Ovis aries: one gene and its partners. The protein of the gene in region 4 purifies or fractionates together with the protein of the main gene of each other region. This does not show direct contact. Links are inferred from orthologs where the notes say so. Each region holds a gene or a part of one and is shown on either strand. Other genes may lie near its edges. The genes, in order: ARRB1, PSMA4, RPS3, NFKBIA, NFKB2 and RELB.

Evidence for each region.
Region 1: the proteins of NFKBIA (region 4) and ARRB1 purify together in Homo sapiens (affinity purification with western blotting; 3 studies listed by BioGRID and IntAct, with this or other methods). This does not show direct contact. The link is inferred for Ovis aries from reciprocal best matches to the Homo sapiens genes NFKBIA and ARRB1.
Region 2: the proteins of NFKBIA (region 4) and PSMA4 purify together in Homo sapiens (affinity purification with western blotting; 3 studies listed by BioGRID and IntAct, with this or other methods). This does not show direct contact. The link is inferred for Ovis aries from reciprocal best matches to the Homo sapiens genes NFKBIA and PSMA4.
Region 3: the proteins of NFKBIA (region 4) and RPS3 purify together in Homo sapiens (affinity purification with western blotting; 4 studies listed by BioGRID and IntAct, with this or other methods). This does not show direct contact. The link is inferred for Ovis aries from reciprocal best matches to the Homo sapiens genes NFKBIA and RPS3.
Region 5: the proteins of NFKBIA (region 4) and NFKB2 purify together in Homo sapiens (affinity purification with mass spectrometry; 6 studies listed by BioGRID and IntAct, counting the BioPlex papers as one, with this or other methods). This does not show direct contact. The link is inferred for Ovis aries from reciprocal best matches to the Homo sapiens genes NFKBIA and NFKB2.
Region 6: the proteins of NFKBIA (region 4) and RELB purify together in Homo sapiens (affinity purification with mass spectrometry; 4 studies listed by BioGRID and IntAct, counting the BioPlex papers as one, with this or other methods). This does not show direct contact. The link is inferred for Ovis aries from reciprocal best matches to the Homo sapiens genes NFKBIA and RELB.

Annotation. Positions count from the first base shown.
Region 1 is NC_056068.1:53,205,181-53,208,680, reverse strand, and holds part of ARRB1 (beta-arrestin-1), read left to right. Parts: intron 1-97; coding exon 98-149; intron 150-1,452; coding exon 1,453-1,564; 3' UTR 1,565-3,500. UniProt on the Homo sapiens protein: Functions in regulating agonist-mediated G-protein coupled receptor (GPCR) signaling by mediating both receptor desensitization and resensitization processes.
Region 2 is NC_056071.1:28,737,446-28,739,847, forward strand, and holds part of PSMA4 (proteasome subunit alpha type-4), read left to right. Parts: intron 1-1,027; coding exon 1,028-1,105; intron 1,106-1,478; coding exon 1,479-1,567; intron 1,568-2,031; coding exon 2,032-2,162; intron 2,163-2,402. UniProt on the Homo sapiens protein: Component of the 20S core proteasome complex involved in the proteolytic degradation of most intracellular proteins. This complex plays numerous essential roles within the cell by associating with different regulatory particles.
Region 3 is NC_056068.1:53,317,636-53,321,676, forward strand, and holds the start of RPS3 (small ribosomal subunit protein uS3), read left to right. Parts: upstream 1-1,241; 5' UTR 1,242-1,271; coding exon 1,272-1,301; intron 1,302-1,843; exon of another isoform or gene 1,844-1,993; intron 1,994-2,138; coding exon 2,139-2,269; intron 2,270-2,540; coding exon 2,541-2,634; intron 2,635-3,515; coding exon 3,516-3,610; intron 3,611-4,041. UniProt on the Homo sapiens protein: Component of the small ribosomal subunit. The ribosome is a large ribonucleoprotein complex responsible for the synthesis of proteins in the cell. Has endonuclease activity and plays a role in repair of damaged DNA.
Region 4 is NC_056071.1:43,394,548-43,398,761, reverse strand, and holds the start of NFKBIA (NF-kappa-B inhibitor alpha), read left to right. Parts: upstream 1-1,414; 5' UTR 1,415-1,502; coding exon 1,503-1,729; intron 1,730-2,350; coding exon 2,351-2,459; intron 2,460-2,787; coding exon 2,788-2,998; intron 2,999-3,388; coding exon 3,389-3,477; intron 3,478-3,600; coding exon 3,601-3,861; intron 3,862-4,214. UniProt on the Homo sapiens protein: Inhibits the activity of dimeric NF-kappa-B/REL complexes by trapping REL (RELA/p65 and NFKB1/p50) dimers in the cytoplasm by masking their nuclear localization signals.
Region 5 is NC_056075.1:22,788,547-22,792,792, forward strand, and holds the start of NFKB2 (nuclear factor NF-kappa-B p100 subunit), read left to right. Parts: upstream 1-1,446; 5' UTR 1,447-1,563; exon of another isoform or gene 1,564-2,880; intron 2,881-2,909; exon of another isoform or gene 2,910-3,098; 5' UTR 3,099-3,170; coding exon 3,171-3,191; intron 3,192-3,473; coding exon 3,474-3,555; intron 3,556-3,691; coding exon 3,692-3,732; intron 3,733-3,982; coding exon 3,983-4,081; intron 4,082-4,160; coding exon 4,161-4,246. UniProt on the Homo sapiens protein: NF-kappa-B is a pleiotropic transcription factor present in almost all cell types and is the endpoint of a series of signal transduction events that are initiated by a vast array of stimuli related to many biological processes such as inflammation, immunity, differentiation, cell growth, tumorigenesis and apoptosis.
Region 6 is NC_056067.1:52,491,192-52,494,691, forward strand, and holds part of RELB (transcription factor RelB), read left to right. Parts: intron 1-482; coding exon 483-829; intron 830-3,500.

The DNA of each region.
Region 1 (3,500 bases), on a different chromosome or scaffold from region 4:
TACCTTAGCTTAGTTGTCCCGGGGTGAGGACCTGTGCCCACCTGCCCCCTCACTCACTCGCCAGTAACCCGTGGGCGGTCATCTGCCCTGTGTTTAGTTCCAGAGCACGAGACGCCAGTAGATACCAATCTCATAGAACTTGACACCAAGTAAGCAGAACCCTGCCTGCAGACATGGGCGGGGTGGGCCTTGGGAGGTGGGCGGGGCTGCCTGGTTATATGCATTTATGCTAATTAACCCCGAGGAGCAGTGGTCTAACCCATCTGCTGAGAGCTGCCTCTGCTCGCCTCTTCAGCAACCCGCTTGCCTGCATGTGACTTGAAGGACCCTCGGTGCCTGTTCCTCTTCCTCCTGCCTTGGTGGGGTCTGTCTTCCTCCCTCGTCCTTGCACGTCCGTCAGTCCGTCAGTCCATTCGTCCATCCACAGCACCTGCTCGGCTGTCACAGGGCTGGTTTGTGGCCCTGGGCTGGGACCCTCCTACTTGGCTGGTGTCCAGCCAGTGGAATCAGGCTGTGGGGTGGGGAAGGTTCTGGGGATCTTCTTGTTTCTGACTCGTGAGGACCAGTATGGATGGCCCTGTGGTCAAAGGCTGTCACCTCACAGGACAGTGGCCAGAGGGGAGGACCTGGGCAAACATGAACCACCTCCAGGTCCAAGCAGCTTTCTCGCTCCAGCTCCAAATCTATGCTTCCTTTGTCCTCTAGGAGATGTGTCGGGTCTTAAGTCAGCCCATGGAGGATACCCCGTGCAGTTGGCTGAATTCTGTGGGGCTGGGGCCTGGAGAGTGGGCCCATGTGGACATGTTTTATTAGTAGAAGGGAGCTCACTGTTCTTAGAGGCAGCCCCTCTGGAACCCCTCTCAGGCACCCTCTTTCTCCACTCATATTTTTTCTGCTCCCCACCCTTATTGGGCTTTGCCTAGCCCCCACCCCAGCCCCCACAGACCCTGTGTATCCAATATCCCTCAGGGTAGAATGTGAGCTGACATTTCCTTGGAGAAAGGGCCTTTGGGGTTTTCTCAGAAAACAGGAATGCTTCCTGAGGGTAGTTCTTGGGTGGGGGCGTGTTCTTGGGGGACTCAGAATATGCTGTGAAACTGCTGTCGGCCTGGCCTCTTTGTGGAAATAAGTTCCTCCTCTGGCCCTAACCCTGCCTCACTCCCCGCCCCCACCCACAATTTGATGTGTGCCTGAACCCCAGCTTCTCAAGAGCTGGGTCGATTTCCAGCCCTTAGCAAACTCAGGCCTCCCTCTGGTATTTCTGCAACTGGCTGGTCCCACTGTCATTGATGGGCATCCAGATGTGCTGGCCTGGCAGGCCTTTCTATCCAAGACCAGTCCCAGAGGCCGGCCTCTGGGTCCTGCTGGGCTGTGCAGGCCCTCCGACCCCTCTGAGTAAACCTCCTCTCCCTGCCCTGCAAACACGCCTGTTTTCCTTGTCTTTCCCACCAGCGATGACGACATTGTGTTTGAGGACTTTGCCCGCCAGAGACTAAAAGGCATGAAGGATGACAAGGAGGAAGAGGAGGATGGTACCGGCTCTCCGCGGCTCAACGACAGATAGACTGGAGCCGCCCTCCCTCCGGGCAGCTCCAGGTCCACTCTCATGCGCTAGGATGCTTGTTCGTCTTCTTCCTGTCCTGACTCCCCCTCCCCTTTGTTCTTCCAGTTTCTACCAGGGGGCCCAGCGGTCTTCCAGGTCACGATGGGAACCCCTGGCCTCAGGATTGGCCCCCATCACCATGCCAACTGGGCCACAGGCAACACCCTCACCCTCTCACCGCATCACTTCTCCATCCCTCCTCTTTTCCTGTTGACCCCTAGACAGGCCAGCACGGCTCTGGCCTTAGAATTTGACTTGGGATGGGGAGCAGAAAGGGGAAGATGGGGCACAAGGGCTTGGCGGGGTGGGGATGGAGGCTCAAGACACGTGAGAGGATGAGGCCACTGTCCCGGGTGATGAATACAGTTCTGGCAGCTAAAACATGACCGCTTTGAAGGCCACCCTCCTCTGGTTGGGAGGGGACAGGCCCATGGATAGATTTTCCACACAGTTTTGCTCGAAGTTCGGACCCACCAAACACCTGTCTTCTTCCTCCCTCGTCCCTGCCCCCGTCCCTCTGTGACTGACAGTGACCTTGGTGAAGGTTTGTAGACCCCAGGAATGGAGCAAAGCAGTTGGGCTGACTTTCTTACCTGCAGTTACCTAGTCTAAGGCAAGTCGTGTGAAGTAGCCCGAGTCTATGTCAGTATCATCAGGATGTAATATCCTAGCTGCCTGTATCTTGCCTGTGTGTCATCCGCAGATATGCACAGAGTGCGACAGAGAGAAGGGAGGGGCCTTCGGAAAGCACCAAGGTCTTGAGGAGGTGTCCTGAAGGGTGACTATGAGATGGGGGTGGGGTGAGAAGATGAGAGTCTGCCCAGCTCCCTTCCTTAAGAGGGATCAGCGATCTGGTGGGAAGCAAGACTGAAGGGCCAGAACGATTGAGGCCACCAATGTCTTCCTGCCCTTGCAGGTCTCCAGGGCTGGACTGGAAGAGAGCCCCTGAGACCACCGTGCCCACAGTCAAAGGGGGTCCTTCCATAGAAGGTAGCAAGGTCCACTGAGTTGTCCTTACCTAAAAGGAAGAGGGACTCTTTTGTTTCCTTGGGGAGCTGATGACCACCCCCCGCCAATACACACACACTCACACACACACACACACACAGTGATTCCCACTGTCATGGGTGTACAGTACCCATGGGCTGATGTTGGTGTGATTAGGACATGGGGCATACTTCCAGGGCAACGGGGCAGGCAGACGATGAGGCAGAAAGTGTTAAAAGTTAACTGTTTTTCTCTGACCTTTGATGCTCACTGCTGTGTGACTTTGGGCAAGTTCCTTTCCGTCTCTGGGCCTCAGTACTTCACCTAGAAAACCAAGGGGTTCGAGCAGATGATCACAAGGGGCCCTCCCAGCTCTGCCTCCAAGAATTTGTGAGCATTAGAGTTTCTGGTCTGGTGGGTGGAGCCAGAACCACTGATTCTGGTCTGTCTGCCACCAGTGAGGATCACTGAACCCGAGGGGTGGTGGGGCAATAGACAGCACCTAGCACCACCACCCTACACCCACTCCAGGCCGAAGAAGGGCCCTTCTAAGGTCCCTAGACTGGGCCAGGGTGAAGGGTTGCCTGATGTCAAGCTGTGGCTGTAGTTAGCATGAGCCGCTTGGCCCTAGGGACCAAGTATTACAGAAGGTATTGTATTTGCTTGTATTTGCTGAGGCGTGGCAGGGGGAGGGGAGGAGAGCTTGCGATAGACACGGTACTACTTCACACCCTCTTTGGATGTCCTGAAGTTTGCCTCATATCCAAGCAGATGTATTGATTAGCAGGGCAAGGGGATCTCTTCCTCCTTTCTGTCTGTGTCCCATACTTGTGAAAAGGCAGATGGCCAAGTTTTATTATATAAGCTGGATCTCAGCTCTTCAGTTCAGCCCCTCCTGGGATGGACTTTG
Region 2 (2,402 bases), about 15 Mb from region 4:
CTTGGGTTAAATCTAGGTTCCACCAATACAAGCTGTGACTTCCATACCTGTTGTTTAACTTCTCTGGGCCTCCAGTAGAGCCTACTGGAGTGATCGTGGCAATTCAGTGACATAAAATGAATGAGTGAAATAAGCTAGCACAGTGTTAGGAATATAGGAGGACCTCGAGGTATTGTTTAGAATGGTTACAAGGAATTAGTTTTAATTATACTGAATCTTACCAAAGACCACGCCTCCTGGAAGTCTTGGAAAAGGTTAGACAGGGCCTGTACACTAGTGATATTTCTGATATACTTGGGTGTTCAGGACTGCAGCTAACAGAGAGCTGGATTTGCTGATTGGAGACCCTCCCTTCTGTGGTACACCATGTGAATGTTGGCTATAGGGCCTTATTGATACACGCACCCCAGAAAGTGTCATCCCTCCACAGAGTCACTGTTGGGCCCTCTCAAGCAGCCTGCAGGCTTGATTGGGCACAGTGCCAGAGGAGTCTAGGCTGTAGGAGGTCCAGGGCAGCCTTCAGGAAACGGAGGGTAGATAAAGAAAATGCACCCCTCCCAGCGAGCCTGGCCCTGGGCTTCCTTGTCAGGCTCAGAAATATCCTGCCCTTTGGGTCCCTTCACCTTCACCCCCATCAAGTGAGGCCTTTGAAAGAGTACTTATACCCAAGAGTGTGAAGTAGTCTGTCTTCCTGTCTGGCAAAACATTTTTCTTCCTTGTGGTTGAATCTTGTTGGGATTTACCCTAGCTTCCTAGTGTTTATTCTCTTGCCCTGTTCACAGGGTGGTGATGGTAAATACATCTGTTGTGAAGATCAAGGGTGCATTTGTTTATCTTATGTATTGAATGACGTCAAATTGAAAGTTTCCTACAAAGATAAAACTCACGTAGTTTTTGCCTGAAGGGTGTAGCAACTGTGAGTAAGCATGGTGAATTTCTAATAGAATTTAGTGTATTTTAAAACTTGTAAAATACCTCTGGCAAACATCCTCCCTAATTACAGATAAATGTGTTTCTCTTCTGCAAGGGATATGGCCTGTAGTGTGGCAGGCATAACTTCTGATGCTAATGTTCTCACCAATGAACTGAGGCTCATTGCGCAAAGGTATGGTCATAAATAATTGATATGTAAAGTTAGTTTTGATGTTTCTATGAAGAATGCATTTTTTTAAAGTTTAAAGGCATTAGAAACCTATTAACTGAAAATTACAGTTTGTTTATTTCTTTAACCAAACTTGTAAAATATTTGGTTGGCCAAAAAGATCATTCATCTTATGGGAAACCTGAACGAACTTTTTGGCCAACCCAGTATTGTTTACAGTAAGGTTATTAAGCGTTGCCATACCCTCTACCCTCCCCCTTCAGATCACAACTATTATGTTGTCCCCATGGCAGAGATTTTTTTAAAAGGGTATTTTGCTTAGAGTGTGTAGAGTGTTTTAGAGAAAACTATTAATATGCCAGTTTCTTTATCCTAGGTATTTATTACAGTATCAGGAGCCAATTCCTTGTGAGCAGTTGGTCACAGCACTGTGTGATATCAAACAAGCTTATACACAGTTTGGAGGTACTGAAACCTTTGGAAATTTCATTCCCAAAAGTTAAAACGTTTTATGAGTAATAACCTTTTTGAAACAGTAAAAAGAAATTGAAAATGAAATAAGTAGACACTTCATACATTCCAGCTTCATGAACTAACTGGCTTCCACTATGTAGACTATCAAACATTTTATTAATAGATTACTGAAAGGCCGAAATAACATTCTAAAATCAGAAAACAAATGACTTTTTACGTAATATTAATGGTATTCAGCACTGGTCGTCTGTGTATTCCCTCTCCTCACTGCGTCCAAATCCTAGAAACAAAAGTGGAATTTCTGATGGAGCTTATCTGTGGTGGCCAGAACATGAGCAGTTTATGAATGCTTAACTTCACAGAAGAGGGGTTAGCCACATTCACTGCGCTCAACTAACCATAGTGATGCTAAATTTAGAGTGTTGATACGTGTGACTTTGTTTTCTCTGTTAAAGGAAAACGTCCTTTCGGTGTTTCATTGCTTTACATTGGCTGGGATAAGCACTATGGCTTCCAGCTCTATCAGAGTGATCCTAGTGGAAATTACGGAGGTTGGAAAGCCACATGCATTGGAAATAATAGTGCTGTGAGTATTTTTGTGTTGCTGTAAAAATCTAGCAAAAGGTCTAATAACTGCCATAATTATGAAGTAGTGATGAGTGTAAACAACATTTTAAGGTAGCTGCAACAAACTTAACATGATATGAAAATCTCTGTGATTTCTGTTGGTGACAAAGTCACAGGTAGTACTAATACTGCTAGGATTTATAACCTACAGTAATAATGAAAGGAAGTACCAGTTTCCAGTTAGAAGTTGTGAAAATAA
Region 3 (4,041 bases), on a different chromosome or scaffold from region 4:
AGTAACTTTGAAATGTATCAAAAGATGCACTGTTGGGTGGATAGAGGCAAGGATAAATATCTGATAAAGCAAATACAGAAAAAAATGTTAATTGCAGCACCTAAGGGATGCATATATAGGTGTACACTGTATAGTTCTTCCAACTTTTCTGTATGTTTGAAATTTTTTGTAATAAAATCTGCGAGGGGAGATTTTTTTTAATTGAAAAAGAATTGCGAGCCATTATCGTAACTTCTGTTACAAGCTGTAACATACTTTATGAACGTGAGGTAGAGGTAATGAATTAATAATATAAAGTCCTAAAACAGTCCTTAGAATATTTAATACATATTATATATATATTATCAGTTTGCAACAGAGGAAGTGGACACAAATTGGAAGAGATAGGTGCCTCAGTGAATTTCTCTGAGGGCTTTCAGCCCAAAAGTGCTTTTACTTTTTTTCATTAAAGAATAAAGTTAGCAGATAAGTGTGTGTTTATACTTGGTTTTAAACTGATGAGAACTGGGCTCTAATTAAACTGATGAGAACTGGACTCTAAACTTCCCTGAATTTTTAAAGCTCTGATTGAGATATTGGCTCCTCTGTCTATGGGATTCTCCAGGCAAGAAAACTGGAGTGGGTTGCCATGCCCTCCTCCAGTGGATCTTCCTGACCTGGAGATCGACCCCTCATCCCTATGATCGACCCCTCACCACTCTCTCTCCTCCATTTGCAGGCGGGTTCTTTACCGCTAGTGCCACCTGGAAAGCCCAGGTTTCTGGATATTGTTGTTGTTCAGTCGCTCAGTTGTGTCCAACTCTTTGCGACCCCATGGGCTGCAGCACGCCGGGTTTCCCTGTCCATCGCCATCTCCCGGAGCTTGCTCAAACTCATGTCCATTGAGTCGGTGATGCCATCCAACTGTCTCATCCTTTGTGTCCTGCCCTTCTCCTCCTGACTTTAGTCTTTCTGAAGGCAGTATCAGGGTCTTTTCCAATGAGTCAGCTCTTTGCATCAGATGGCCAAAGTATTGGAGCTTCAGCTTCAGCATCAGTCCTTCCAATGAATACTGAGGATTGATTTCCTTTCTTCCCCAACACCTCACAGTTCAAAAGCATCAACCCTTGGACCGCGCTTTTCTCTTTCCTTTTACCAAAGTGAAAACTACACTTCCCATGAGCGCTCACAGGCGTCGACGTCGCGCAGTTCTTTGTCGTCGCACAGCGCCCTTTATACGCACTTCCGCCCGCTTGCCACTTCCTTTCCTTTCGGCGGCTCGCGTCGGCAAGATGGCCGTGCAAATTTCCAAAAAGAGGAAGGTGAGATCCCGGGGCCCGGTTGCAGGGAAGTGGCGTTTCGCGGGTCAGGAGCCTTTCTGGGTGCTATTGCGAGACTTATAGCTCTTCGCTATGCCCGGGGCAGCGGCCGGACTGTGTCGCTTTCCCGTGGGCTGCGGATGGCGGTGGATTGAGCGCAGGCCCGTGGCTGCTGAGAACGGTATGGCTGGGATAGGAGAGAAGGATTTCTGCCGGTTCCGGGCGGAGAGCAGAGATGAGCACTGAGGGCTCCTCCTGCCGTGGAGGAGCGCTTGTGAGCCTTTCTTAGTCAGTAGTTAGTAAAGTTACTAAATGTGATGTTTTGAATGCATGAGCCTTTCCCTCATCGAATGGTAGCTTTGAGAAAGGGAGGTAGCAGTGTTCGCTTGCCTTCTTCCTAGGCTTGTCTGGGTGCAGGCTTCTGACCCCAAGGACCTCAGTTTGGAAGGTTACTGACAATTTCTTGTTCTATCTTGGGGTCAAGGAAACGTTCTGGGGAAATAGAGGGAAGGGACCTGGGGGAAACGGTTTGATTATTTAAAACCCTTCAATGAAGAGGAGATGACGAGTCTGACTGGAGGTGTTCTCTTTGTCCAGGTGACCCCTACCCTGTGCCGCGTTCTGTGGCACAGTTTTAAGGGCCTGGGTCAAAGTTAACTTCCAAAAGATGACTTAGAGGCATTTGTCTGAGAAGGGTTGCTATGTTTTCTCTGGAACAAGGCAAAATAATTAATGATGGGTCGTTGGTTGGAGGTGTTGAATCTTGATTAGGGTTGCATTGACTGGGCTAGAAACCTGAGCCCATGTCCAGATCCTCATTTTCATTTTGCTTTTGGTTAGTTTGTCGCTGATGGCATCTTCAAAGCTGAACTGAACGAGTTTCTCACTCGGGAGCTGGCCGAAGATGGGTACTCTGGAGTTGAGGTCCGAGTTACACCAACCAGGACAGAGATCATCATCTTGGCCACCAGGTGAAAAATTCATTTTTCTGGCCATCACCTGTAATTGTTGTCTGCACTAAGGTGATTTCTTCTGTAAACGTAGCAGAACAACAGTTGAGTCATCGTGAATGAGTTTTTAAGCTGCATTTAAAAAAAAGATAATCTCTTAGTTCTTGTCATCCAAAATTTATGCTTTCTTGTGTCAGATGAATTAGATTTTTACTACCACACGTGTGCAAGGTTTAAAATTACATCTGTAATGTTATGAGAGCTGTGAATTGTCACTCTTCATTTTCCCCAGGACACAGAATGTACTTGGTGAGAAGGGCCGGCGGATCCGGGAATTGACTGCTGTGGTTCAGAAGAGATTCGGCTTCCCTGAAGGCAGTGTAGAGGTGAGTGATCCTGGCTTGTGCCAGAGGCTACTCTGGAGCTAGAAATGGCTCTTCAGGATGGTGCTGTGCTGTGCTTTGTCGCTCAGTCGTGTCCAACTCTTTGTGACCCCCATGGCCCCAAGGCTTCTCTGTCCATGGGGAGTCTTCCAGGCAAGAATTCTGGAGCTGGTTGCCATGCCCTCCTCCAGGGGATCTTCCCAACCAAGCGATTGAACCCAGGTCTCCCCACATTGCAGGCGGATTCTTTACCATCTGAGCCACCAGGGAAGCCCTCTTTAGGATGGTACTTCTGAAAACTCATATTATCACCCTGAAAGCTTACTTGTGATCAGTGAGTATTACAAATGGATTGGTATTTTGTTGAAGGTCTTTTAATAAGCAGTTGGCAGCAGTTTATACCTATCTTGGAATTAGTAATGATACATAGGAGAGGTTGGCTGCCCATTGATCTCCATGATTTGGCTGTGGAAAGAGGTGGGGGTGGGAGAAAAATGAGGAATGGTTCAGTTCAGTCTGCGTCCCTGAGTGTTTGTTAGATGTGGGCATTAGAAGTGCTTTAATACTTGGGTAGTACAGTGAAGGGCTTCCCAGGTGGCTTACTGGTAAGGAATCTGCGTGCCAATGTAGGAGACGCGGGTTCAGTCCCTGAGTCAGGAAGATCTGGAGGAGGGCATGGTAACCTTCACCAGTATTCTTGCCTGGAGAAGAAGAGGACCCTGGTGGGCTGTAGCCAATGGGGTTGCACACTCATCCACTAAATGAGAACAAATAGAGTGATACATAGAGGGGTGTCTGCTTGAATCATGAATGTGCTGATTTTTAGTTGAAAACGGTGGTGATGAGTGTAACAAGTTTAAGAATGTGCCTTGTTTTCTTTAAAGCTTTATGCTGAAAAGGTAGCCACAAGAGGACTGTGTGCCATTGCCCAGGCAGAGTCTCTGCGTTACAAGCTCCTAGGAGGCCTTGCTGTGCGGAGGTAAGAGTCCTTATGAATTGTGTCCTTTCGTGAATCAGTATATCAGCTATTTTGTTAATTTAGTAAGTGGACTCTGGACAGGCTCAGCTAGTCTCTGAGGGCTTTAACAATAAGACATTGTCAATCCATGTTGCAGCCTAGTTAGAAAGACTAGTAAAGACAAGTGTTTAAAAAAGCGAGTGGTGTTAGTAGAGCACGGTGGGAGTATGAATGTAGGATGGGGGTGGGGAATGGTTTGGGTTCATGTTGAAGTCATTCACATACATTGTGTGGTGGTAACTCTGGGGATTCAAGAGAGAAGACTCATTGCTGAGAAGAGAGCTTAAAATCTAGTCAGGTATGCCCAGTAGGTATTTATAGATAGTGATGTGAGGAACAGAGGACATGAGGTGGTTAGATTGGCCCCGGAGCTGGGCTTGCTGATAAGATTT
Region 4 (4,214 bases):
AAATAGATGAATGCATACCTCTCATTGACTAGGAGGTGGGGGGGGCGCAGAGAGCCTAGGTTCTATTTCTGCAGGTGAGAGGAGGGTGGTGAGCCTGGAGTGGCTACCCATATGGCAAGCATGGGTCCCATGCATGTCTCTCCCAGGCAGGAGAGCAAGGAGCCAGCAGAGGCAGGATGAAGGGCACCATGGGCTGCCTTGAGCCTCCTGCACTATGCCTGGCAGCTAATTTCTTAGCCATCCATAAGGCCTCATCTTGGATAAGGCACTACTCTACCCATTCTTCAGCCACCTTCCCCAAATGCTTCTGCAAAGTCACCCAGCAGAGGACCCAGAAGTATGCTCAGGGTCTGTTCCCTGCAGCAGCACAGTGCAGAGCAGGGAACCCGACCTCCATAATTATTTCCTTACTTCAAGGGATTTACAGCCTCTGCTACAAAGACTCATACCTTGCTTTCCTTGAAAAATACCATGGTTGTTTTCACCGTTTTCCTGCATACAGGGCAGAGTGCTTGCCTCTCCTCCAGTCAACAGGATTGATAATCCCAAGGAAATGATTTGACGGTTCCCCAGTGGCAACCCACTCCAGTGTTCTTGCCTGGAGAATCCCAGGGATGGGGCAGCCTGGTGTGCTGTTGTCTCGGGGTCACACTGAGTCGGACACAACTGAAGCGACTTAGCAGCAGCAGTAGCAGCAATCATTTAGGCTTTTAATGCCAAAAGCTTTAGAAACTTCTACCCGGGGGTCGGGCGGTGGGGGTGGGAGTGGAGAGTGGGCTGGGGCTGGCTATTCAGCCGGTGCCTACAATGCTAAGAGCCTGGTACTGGCAGGAAGGCAGAGGCAGCCACCTTCCACCGACCAGTGCGTCCTCCCCGCAGAGAGCTTTGGGGAAGTGAATCCCTACACCCGGCCAACATTTCCACTCGCGTTTTCAAAAGATTTAAAAAAAAACCGGAAAAGACCTGCAGGTCGGTAAACCCCAGTGAAGAACCAGCCTGCAGGCCTGCGTCTTTGGGATCTCAGCAGCTGACGACCCTAAATCAAATCGATCAAATCGGGAAAACCCAGGGAAAGAGAGCTTCTTGCAGAGGGCCAGGATTACTGCGTGCAGGTTGCAGGGAAGTACCCGGGGAGGGGGCCCGGTCAGGAGGACTTTCCAGCCACTCAGCGTTCATCAAAAAGTTCCCTGTACATGACCCCAGTGGCTCATCACAGGGAGTTTCTCTGATGAACTCGGGCGCGGGGTTTAGGCTTCTTTTTCCCCCTAGCAGAGGACGAGGCCAGTTCTCTTTTCTGGTCTGACTGGCTTGGAAATTCCCCGCGCCTGACCCCGCCCCGGAGAAATCCCCTGCCAGCGCTTATAGGGCGCCGCGGCGGCGCTGCCGAGCCCACAACAGTCCTAGCCCGTCGTCCCGCTCGCCCGCGACTCCGAGAGCAGCCAGAGCGCAGCGCAGCCCGCGGCCCGTGCACTGGGGAGCAGCGCCCGAGCCTTCACCGCGCCATGTTCCAGCCTGCCGAGCCCGGCCAAGATTGGGCCATGGAGGGCCCCCGGGACGCGCTCAAGAAGGAGAGGCTGCTGGACGACCGCCACGACAGCGGCCTGGACTCCATGAAGGACGAGGAGTATGAGCAGATGGTGAAGGAGCTGCGAGAGATCCGCCTCGAGCCGCAGGAGGCGCCGCGCGGCGCCGAGCCCTGGAAACAGCAGCTCACCGAGGACGGAGACTCGTAAGTGTCGCGGGCCCGGGTGGCAGGGCCGGGTGGAGGCGCTGGGCCTGCAGCCCCAGGCGCGGGGCCCGCGCAGCGGCCGCGCACCGGGGTTCGTGCACCGACCCCGAGGCTGTGCAAAGGTGCACGGCTGCCTGCGGGGCCGGGGGCCGGGGCGGGGGGGGCGGGTCGGGGGTCGGCGCTGGTTTCCGGGGCCGTGGTCCCGCGGCCCTGCGTTGCAGCCGCGCGCACCCCCCGCACGCACACCCCCGTGCGGGTCCCCTCGGCCGGAGGCGGGGCGGCGGCGGGGACGCGAAGTCCCCGCTTGCATAAGGGGGGGGCGGGAGTTTCTGCCCCGCTGGCGGGCGCCGCGCGGCCGGGAGGGGAAGTACAGGGCGTTCCGGCCGGGCGAGAGGGCGGGGCGGTCTGGCCGGCGCCCGCCGCCGAGCGCGGGGGGGGCGGGGGGCCGGAAAGTCCCTGGGCGCCTGCCAGGAACACTCAGCTCATAATAACCTCGCGGAAAACACCGCGGCCTCGGCCTCCAGAAACCCCGGCCTTGCGCAATCCCCCGCGGGCCGCGCCTCCCCGGGCCCCACGCAGTGCACTCACCAGCCCTGGGGGTTTTCCCTCTCTTCCCCTCAGGTTCCTGCACTTGGCCATCATCCATGAAGAGAAGGCCCTCACCATGGAAGTGGTCCGCCAAGTGAAGGGAGACCTGGCCTTCCTCAACTTCCAGAACAACCTGCAGCAGGTACTGCTCTCCCGCCGCGTACCTCTCTCTCCCGCTCTGACCCCGAGATAAAACCGGGTCTTGCACATGATTTCTAGATTAACAAAGGTTTGGGCATTATCTGCCCTGATTTTTTACACCTGTGTCAGCCAGTATTCTAGAACACAAAATTCCATTGATTTGGGAAGGCCTTTATGAAGCCCATCTGGGGCCTCTGGTATTTTGCTTTGCCCCTGGTATGCGCCTGGGAAAAGCAGCACCCACAACCAAGATATCTCTGGGGTTCAAGGGAACACAGATGGTGGGTTGGATCCATGGCTTATCCTTTCTGTCCCTCTTCTGTTTGTAGACGCCACTCCACTTGGCTGTGATCACTAACCAGCCAGAAATTGCTGAGGCACTTCTGGAAGCTGGCTGTGATCCTGAGCTCCGAGACTTTCGAGGAAATACCCCCCTACACCTTGCCTGTGAGCAGGGCTGCCTGGCCAGTGTGGGAGTCCTGACTCAGCCCCGGGGAACCCAGCAGCTCCACTCCATTCTGCAGGCCACCAACTACAATGGTATGTCTGGCTGTCCTGCCCATCAGAGGGCAGGTGAGGTGGACACGGGGGAGGCAGGCTGACTTAAGGAGGCCAAGCAAGGCCTAAGCTCTCAACATATGAAAGATGGAGAAAACATGTATAAAGGCCTAGTTGATGCCTTTCTAAAGTCCATTCAGAACCCAGATTCTGAGCTCTTCAAATTAAGAATGTATCCTTCAAAAGAATAGGGATATATGTATACCTATGGCTGATCCATGTTGATGTATGGCAGAAACCAATACAATATTGTAATTATCCTTCAATTGAAAATAATAAATGAAGAAAAAAAAAGAATAGGTGAAAGCTTCTGCTTGAGAAATGAGTGTTGAAACAAGTAGTTATAATACTGTCTTACTTTTGGTCTTCTAGGCCACACGTGTCTGCACTTGGCCTCTATTCATGGCTACCTGGGCATCGTGGAGCTGTTGGTGTCCTTGGGCGCTGATGTCAACGCTCAGGTCAGTGCCTCACACCTTCAAATGGGGTACATCAGGCCACCCTGGTCCTCAATACGAGGGCTTTTGCTGCAAGCAGAACTTCCAAACTCAGCCATAAGCATCTTGAATTCCTTATGGTTCCAGGAGCCCTGCAATGGCCGAACTGCCCTCCATCTGGCAGTGGACCTGCAGAATCCCGACCTGGTGTCACTCCTGTTGAAGTGTGGGGCTGATGTCAACAGAGTCACCTACCAGGGCTACTCCCCGTACCAGCTCACGTGGGGCCGCCCCAGCACCCGGATACAGCAGCAGCTGGGCCAGCTGACCCTAGAGAACCTTCAGACACTGCCAGAGAGCGAGGATGAGGAAAGCTATGACACCGAATCAGAGTTCACAGAAGATGAGGTGAGTCCCAATTAACTTGTTCATGGCTTTGCAAAAAGAAAGGAGAGAGGCCATTCTCCCTCCCCCTTCTAAGGCTCCTAGAGTTCCTCCTTATCCTGAGGGTCTCAATGTAATGAGCCTCTCAAGCTTGAGTATGTGTAAGCAGAATCCCAAGAGCATGTCTTTTTTTTTTTTTTTTTTTTGGCTCTTGTTGAAGGAGGATCCTTAAAGGAAAACTCCCTCAGCCCAGGAAATTCATTTACATTCAGTGTATAGAGAATGGGGTCCAGGAATACTTGAGTTATTTCCAGTAACAGCCCACCCCATCATCCTAGCACCCTCGGAAAAGCCCTGCGAGTTTAACATGCCTTTTT
Region 5 (4,246 bases), on a different chromosome or scaffold from region 4:
CAATTCCTAAGCAAGTTTTATTGCCCCTGACTTTCAAATCTACCTAGACTATGACCATTTCTCCCACTCTTACCTACTCCTACCCAAGTCTAAAGTCTCACAATGGGGTGGGAAGACCTGCTTTGCTTTATACAAATTTAGGGTGAAGAGCTTTGTGCTAGAGTTAAGAGACTGGGTTTGATTCTCACTCTGTCCCTTGTCAAGCCATGTATTTGGTTGTGTTACTTCTCCTCTCTGAGTCTTAACTTTATCAGTTTGGGCTTCCCTGGTGTCTCAGGGGTAAAGAATCCATCTGCCAATGCAGGAAATGCAAGAGACTCAGTTTCAATCTCTGGGTTGAGAAGATCCTCTGGAGAAAGAAATGGCGATCCACTCTAGTATTCTTGCCTGGAAAATTTCATGGGCAGAGGTAGTCCTGGCAGGCTACAGTCCATGGGGTTGCAGAGTCCGAGATGACTGAGCAACTGAGTACACATACATCTTCCCATAGTATCTGGCACATTCAATCTGCAGGCAAGATGAAGAGGGAAGTGACAGGAAATTACCCAAATCAAGGGCCACAATAGTCTCCCTTTATGCAGAGCTACTGCAGGCCTGTAATTCCATAATTAAGGTCAGGGGCAAGCTGCAGGCAAGATTTGAAACAACAGCCTATGTTCTACCATGGTGAGCCTAAGGGAGGACACCTCCAAAAATGGAGATTATTCATGGCACCTCCCGAAAAGAAATTCTATCAACCAGAAATGTCCAGCCCCAGAGGTCAATACTTTGTGAAAATCTGTACTGACCTTGCTGCTGCTAGAAGTATCTAAGCAGGCAGGGACTTCCCTGTGGTCCAGTGACTAAGACTTCACACTCCCAATGCAGGGGGCCCAGATTCCATCCCTGGTCAGGGAACTAGACACAATGAAGACAGAAGATCTCAACAAAGATCTCAGCTAAGACCCAGTGCAGCCAAATATATATATATTTAAAGTAAGCAGACATTGAAAACTATATAAAAAGGTAATTTCTTACATCAAAGGCATTTGAACTAATAATTTTGGATGACTTTTCAACTCTAATATTCCAAACTTCCGTGATCGATGAGCAAGGCCTGAGTCTCCCAGATAAATACCTCCTTTCCCTTATCCTCGGAAGACCTCCTGAGCTCAGGTCTGAAAGTCTGGCCAGCTGTTAACCTGTCATTTACAAAACAAGTTTCAGGTCCAGACACTTTCTTCCCGGGAAGACAGAGGATTATGGAGTCTCCTTGAGGCTCCAGAGGGGCCACCAGATGGCACTCTAGAACCTACTGCAAGATTAACTTCCTTCCTCTTCCTCTAAGTCTTCCCGGCAGCCGGGCCCCGCTCCGGGCGGGACCAGAGGGGCTGAGGCATATCAGCTTCCCCCTGGGGTTCCCCGACTTCAGAGGTGGCCGAGCATTAGGCGCAGCATAAAACCGAGTAGCAGCAGGGGCTGCCAGCCGGCTTGGACAGGCCTGGGTGTGAGGAGACCGGAGCCAGGTGCCTCGGCTGGGGAATGGCGCTCGGTCAGCGGATCCCGCAGCGGGGTGGTCCCCAGGTTAGAGCTAGTGCCTGTCTGAGGGTCATTCTCACTCTGGCTTCCAGAGCTACACAAATATTTCTCCTCCAAGGGGCGCCCCTGAGTCACTCCCGATTGGCTGTGTAAGTCCAGGAGTTAAACTTTCAGCCAATGAAAAAGGGCATGGCGAGTGACGCACGGAAACGTCACGGGAATTCCCCCCTCCCGGGGGCGGAAAAGGGGCTTTCCCGGCTGGAGTCCTGGTGGTGGGAGAGGTGTCGCGACCCGTCCGAGGTGGGTCCGGCCGGGAGAGAATCCTGAACCGGAGCCACCGCCGCGGTGAGTGGCCGGGTTCAGACCCCTGGGTGGTGGGACACCGGCAAGGGCGGGAGGAGGGTCCTTAGCTGACCGAGCCTTAGAGCTGAAGAGCGGCATCTGCGCATTCAGAGAGCGCGCATACGAACAGGACATGCGGATACACATCGATATCCTGTACAAAGATATGGGCCGTACGTCCATCTACACGTATGCCGCAGGTGCACAGGATCGCCCATGCATTCAGACTCGCACATACATGCATACGCAAAACACACTCACCCGTGCACAGGTGCCTGGACACACACCCTCCACGCAGAAACTCAACGACAGGTTCCCCTGTGCCCTCAGATACACGCTGACATGTGTCCACACTAATAAGCTTAAGGACTCTCACCTGTACACGCATGTCCACGCCATGCACACAATGCGCAAGCACATGGGCTGAAACATATTAGACACCTGTACAAGTGTTACATACGGCCATGGGACAGGGGCGGGGGCGGGGCACCCAAAGCAGGTGCGGTGTGGGAATCAACGACTGTTGAGATTTTCGGGAAGAGGGAATGGAGGTGCCCATCCCAACACCCCCTCCGGCCCCTTGGCCTCAGAGACTGCTTCTCGGGACAGAACCCCGGGGCCCTCTACTCGGAAGAGCCCCCACCTACAGGCCTTCGGGGTGGAGGCCTTCCTACAGCAGGAATGTCCCCCCAAAACCCCCCGGGGTGAATCAGCCGTGGCCTCCCTGAGGGTAGAAAATCCCAAGGTTGCTCCAGGAGGGGGAAGGCGGGGGGGCCGGTCCCCGGACTAGGAGCTTCCTCCGGCCTTGAAAGACCCCCAGTCCCCGGCGCCGGCCTGGAGAGAGGAGGGGGGTGCCCCCCCAACCCCGCGGGGCCTTCCCTGGGTTTGATTGCCCCTCTGCTTGCAGAGACGCTGCAGGCGCTCTCCGGCCAGCGAAGAGACGACCTCGCGCCCCTCCCGCCCGGGGGCGTGGTCAGTGGCGTCATTTCCAGGCCCGCCCCCTGGCCCCGCCTCCCCCTGGTATTTTCGGGACTTTCCTAAGCTGTTCTAACTTTCCTGCCCCTTCCCCGGCCTGGCCCAGCCCAACTCCGGATCTCGCCCTCCACCGGATCCTGCCCGCCACACCCGGACGGGTAGCTGGAGGAGATCGGACCCTCCCCTAAATTTGGGCCCCTCTCTCCCCCCAACTCCCGTCCTGATCTATCTCTCCCTACACCCGCCACTCCTCCCCACCTAAGGCGGGCGCCTGAAACTCTGGGAAACAGAACCCGGCCGAAGCCACCGGACAGAGCCGGGCCTAGCCCAGAGTCATGGACAGTTGCTACGACCCAGTGAGTCACGCCGCCTGGCCTCAAAGCCTGCCGGCTGCCCCCCTGTGCCTGTCTGCTTGTCTGCCTGCCTGTCCTAGTCCCTTCTACTCCCTTGCACCTCTAATGTCCTCAGATTATTTCACCCTGCCTGTAAGTCAGTCTCTGCAAACTGGTTTCAGTAGGAGCTTTTTTATGGGCCTGCCTAGGAGAGGGGGTGATTGCTAATGGTTTAGAGAGCTGAGAGGTGGAGGGTTCTGGGGGTGGCTCAGAATCAGCTGCCATCTCAGTCTGTCTCCATACCAGGGTCTGGATGGCATCATTGAATATGATGATTTCAAATTCAACCCGTCCATTGTGGAGCCCAAGGAGCCAGCCCCAGAGACAGGTTAATAAGTCCCCTGACCTGCCCTTGTCTTGGAGGGAGCGGGAGGGAGGAGGAGGGAGGAGCATGTGGTGTGTGTGCCCTCTGTCTTGGGAATGGGCTCAGAGGTCCTGGCTCAGCAAGGCTCCTCTGTCCCCAGCTGATGGTCCCTACCTGGTGATTGTGGAACAGCCTAAGCAGGTGAGCAAGTAGAAGGGATGGCTTCAATTTTGGGGGCAAGTGGGACAGTTGTAGCTGGGTGGCCACGGGCAGGGTAACTGATCACAGACCCACTTCGGGTTGGGATTGTTAGCAGCTGCTGATCACAGTGGCCTGGTGGTGATTCAGGATACATACGTCCAGTCATTATGGTCACTGCTGGCTGGGGATGTGGCTGGTGAGGGGGGATGTTTCTCCTGGTCACAATGTCACTCTGCCCTGGCACCTTCAGCGAGGCTTCCGATTTCGATATGGCTGTGAAGGCCCTTCCCATGGAGGACTGCCAGGTGCCTCTAGCGAGAAGGGCCGGAAGACTTATCCCACGGTCAAGGTGAGCCAGGGTGGTGCTGGAGGGTGGGCTAGTGGACAGTGTGTCCATGGGCATTACTGACAGCCCTCACCCTTCACAGATCTGTAACTACGAGGGACCTGCCAAGATTGAGGTGGACCTGGTAACACACAGTGACCCACCTCGTGCCCATGCTCACAGTCTGGT
Region 6 (3,500 bases), on a different chromosome or scaffold from region 4:
GGATGTGGGATCCTGAGCCACTGACAAACTTGGCATCCTTCCAGCTTGATCACTGGACGGTGATGCTCCTTTCTGAGATGAAGCTTCGGCAGAGTAGCTGTTATTCTTGTTATTAAATGGAGCAAGATGGAGGCAGGGGTGCCTGTGACCTGGTCTTACCTTGATCCAGGTGAGAGGTGATCAAGGCGTGGGTGCAGGAGCTGTTTCGGAGGCCAGTGGACATGAGGGTGCAGGAGAAGGAGAAACCAGGCCCACCCTCAGGGCCTTAAGAACTGGGCACGCTGGGGGTCTATTTGCAAGAAGGAAGGCAGGGGCTTTTTTGTGTGTTCAGAGCTGAAGCCCCTACTCTGTGTATGTGAAACCCACAAGAAATCTGTCTTGAAGAAACGAATGGACGGGAAGTGGAGAGGGTGGCAAAAGTCAGGGGATTAAACAAGCCTTTTAACTATCAGCGTCACCCCCAGTTTTGGCTTCTCCCCCAGAGATCATCGACGAGTACATCAAGGAGAATGGCTTCGGCTTGGAGGGGGCGCAGCCTGGCCCGGGCGAGGGGCTGCCACGCCTGGTATCTCGCGGGGCGGCCTCCCTGAGCACCGTCACCCTGGGCCCCGCGGCGCCCCCGCCCCCGGCCACGCCGCCGCCCTGGAACTGCACCCTGGGCCGGCTGGTGCCCCCGGCCCCGGGCGCCGGGCCGCGGCCGCACCTGGTTATCACCGAGCAGCCCAAGCAGCGCGGCATGCGCTTCCGCTATGAGTGCGAGGGCCGCTCGGCCGGCAGCATCCTTGGAGAGAGCAGCACCGAAGCCAGCAAGACGCTGCCCGCCATCGAGGTAGGCAGAGGGGGCTGGGCACCGGGAATAGGGGGAGGCGGGGGGTGGGGTGGGGACTGCGATTCTCTTGCCCCCAGGAGTCACACACGCGAATTTCTTTATTCGTGCATTTTCATCATGATGATGATGATGATGATTGGTTTTTGAATTTCATCTATTTATTTATTTTTGGCTGCACTGGGTCTTCCTTGCTGTGGGCTTTCCCTAGTTGCCGGGCGTGGGGGCTACTCTCTAGCTGTGGTGCGGGCTTCTCATTGCGGTGGCCTCTTGTTGCAGAGCAGGGGCTCTAGGCCCTCGGACTCAGTTGCTCCACAGCATGTGGAATCTTTCCGGACCAGAGATTGAACCCCTGTCCCCTGCACTGGCAGGCAGATTCTTAGCCACTGCGCCAAGGGAGAGGTCCCTACAGTGGTTATTATTGTTGTTGCTACTGCCAGGGTTGATGATACCACTGTTGGGTGTGTGTCATGTCCAACTCTGCAACCCCATGGACTGTAGCCCGCCAGGCTCCTCTGTCCATGGAATTCTCCAGGCAAGAATACTGGAGTGGGTTGCCATTTCCTTCTCCAGATACCACTGTTACTTGGCATTAAATTTAAAGAGTTTTCAAAGAAAGACTTTCTTCCTGGGAATATGACAGGATCGATCACAGTCATTATTGCTGTAAAGGCTGTGTAGCCTCCTGGTTCACGGTAAGAATCAGAGTGCTTGAGTTCGAATCCTGCTTCCACCAGCTGCTAGCTCTGCTGCCTCGGGCAGGTTACTCAGTCCCTCTGTGCCTTCTCTACAAAATGTGGTAACAGGGACTTCTCTGGTGGTCCAGGGGTTAGGGCTCTGCTTTCATACCTGAGGGCCTGAGGCTCAATCCCTCGTTGGGGAACTAGGATTCTGCAAACCGTGTGGCATGGGGAAAAAAAAGTAAAATAAGATCCCCAAACTTCTGGAAGCGGGATTGCCCATCAAAGGCAACTTGACAGCCATTGCCAAGTTGCCCTCCTCGGGGGTTGCACCCATGACTGTCTCTCCCAGTGATGTCTGAGAGGCCCGGTGCCTCATGCCTCTCCAATACGGAGCCTTGTTGTATTTCTGGATCTTTGCCCAAGTGTCTGTGGAGCCTGAATTGTGTCCTCACCATCCCACTAGGGCCGAATCCAGGCCCAGCTGCTCCCTGACCTCCAGCTTTCTCCCTGGTGACCAGCTCTCAGTCCCCTCCCAGATTTCCCTCCCCGCTTCACTGAGGCAGCCAGAGAGGTGCTGGTAAATTACACATCTGCTCCTCTCCCCTGCTTAGAATCCTCCTTTGTCTCCGGAGTGCCCTCAGGAGGAGGCCCAAGATCCTCCTGGGGAGGATCCTCCCCAGGGCCTCTGAAGACATTTGCTTATTTCTTTAAAAAAAAAAAGATTTATCTATTTATTTAACTGTTCTGGGTGTTAGTTGCAGCACGTGGGATCTTCCATCTTAGTTGTGGCATGTCGGATCTAGTTTCTTGACCAGGGATGGAACCCAGGCCTCCTGCATTGGGAGCATGGAATCTTAGTCCCCGGACCACCAGGGAAGGCCCTCTAAGACCTTGCCTGGTCCAGCTTCTGCTGCCCACTCCCACCCAGCCCCCTCACTCCCCACCATCCAGCCATCAGGCCTTCGCTACTGCTGTTCCTCCTGCCTGAAGTGTTTTCCACTTGCAGCCTTTAGTTCAGTTCAGTTCAGTCGCTCAGTAGTGTCTGACTCCTTGCAACCCCATGGACTGCAGCATGCCAGGCCTCCCTGTCCATCACTAACTCATGGAGTTTACTCAAACTCGTGTCCATTGAGTTGGTGATGCCATCCAACCATCTCATCTTCTGTCGTCCCCTTCTCCTCCCGCCTTCAATCTTTCCCAGCATCAGGGTCTTTTCCAGTGAGTCAGTTCTTCACATTAGGTGGCCAAAGTATTGGAGTTTCAGCTTTAGCATCAGTCCTTCCAGTGAATATTCAGGATTGATTTCCTTTAGGATGGACTGGTTGGATCTCCTTGCAATCCAAGGGACTCTTAAGAATCTTCTCCAACACCACAGTTCAAAAGCATTCTTTATAGTCCAGTTCTTACATCCATACATGACTACCCAGAAAAACCATAGCTTTGACTAGACGGACCTTTGTTGGCAAAGTAATGTCTCCGTTTTTTAATATGCTGTCTAGGTTGGTCATAACTTTCCTTCCAAGGAGCAAGCGTCTTTTAATTTCATGGCTACAGTCCCCATCTGCAGTGATTTAGGAGCCCAAAAAAATAGTCTCTCACTGTTTCCCCATCTATTTGCCATGAAGTGATGGGACCAGGTGCCATGATCTTAGTCTTCTGAATGTTGAGTTTTAAGCTAACTTTTTCACTCTCCTCTTTCACTTTGATCAAGAGGCTTAGTTCTTCACTTTTTGCCATAAGAGTGGTGTCATCTGCGTATCTGAGGTTATTGATATTTCTCCTGGCAATCTTGATTCCAGCTTGTGCTTCATCCAGTCCAGCGTTTCTCATGATGTACTCTGCATATAAATTAAATAAGCAGGGTGACAATATACAGCCTTGACATACTCCTTTCCCGATCTGGAACCAGTCTGTTGTTCCATGTCCAGTTCTAACTTCTTGACCTGCATACAGATTTCTCAGGAGGCAGGTCAGGTGGTCTGGTATTCCCA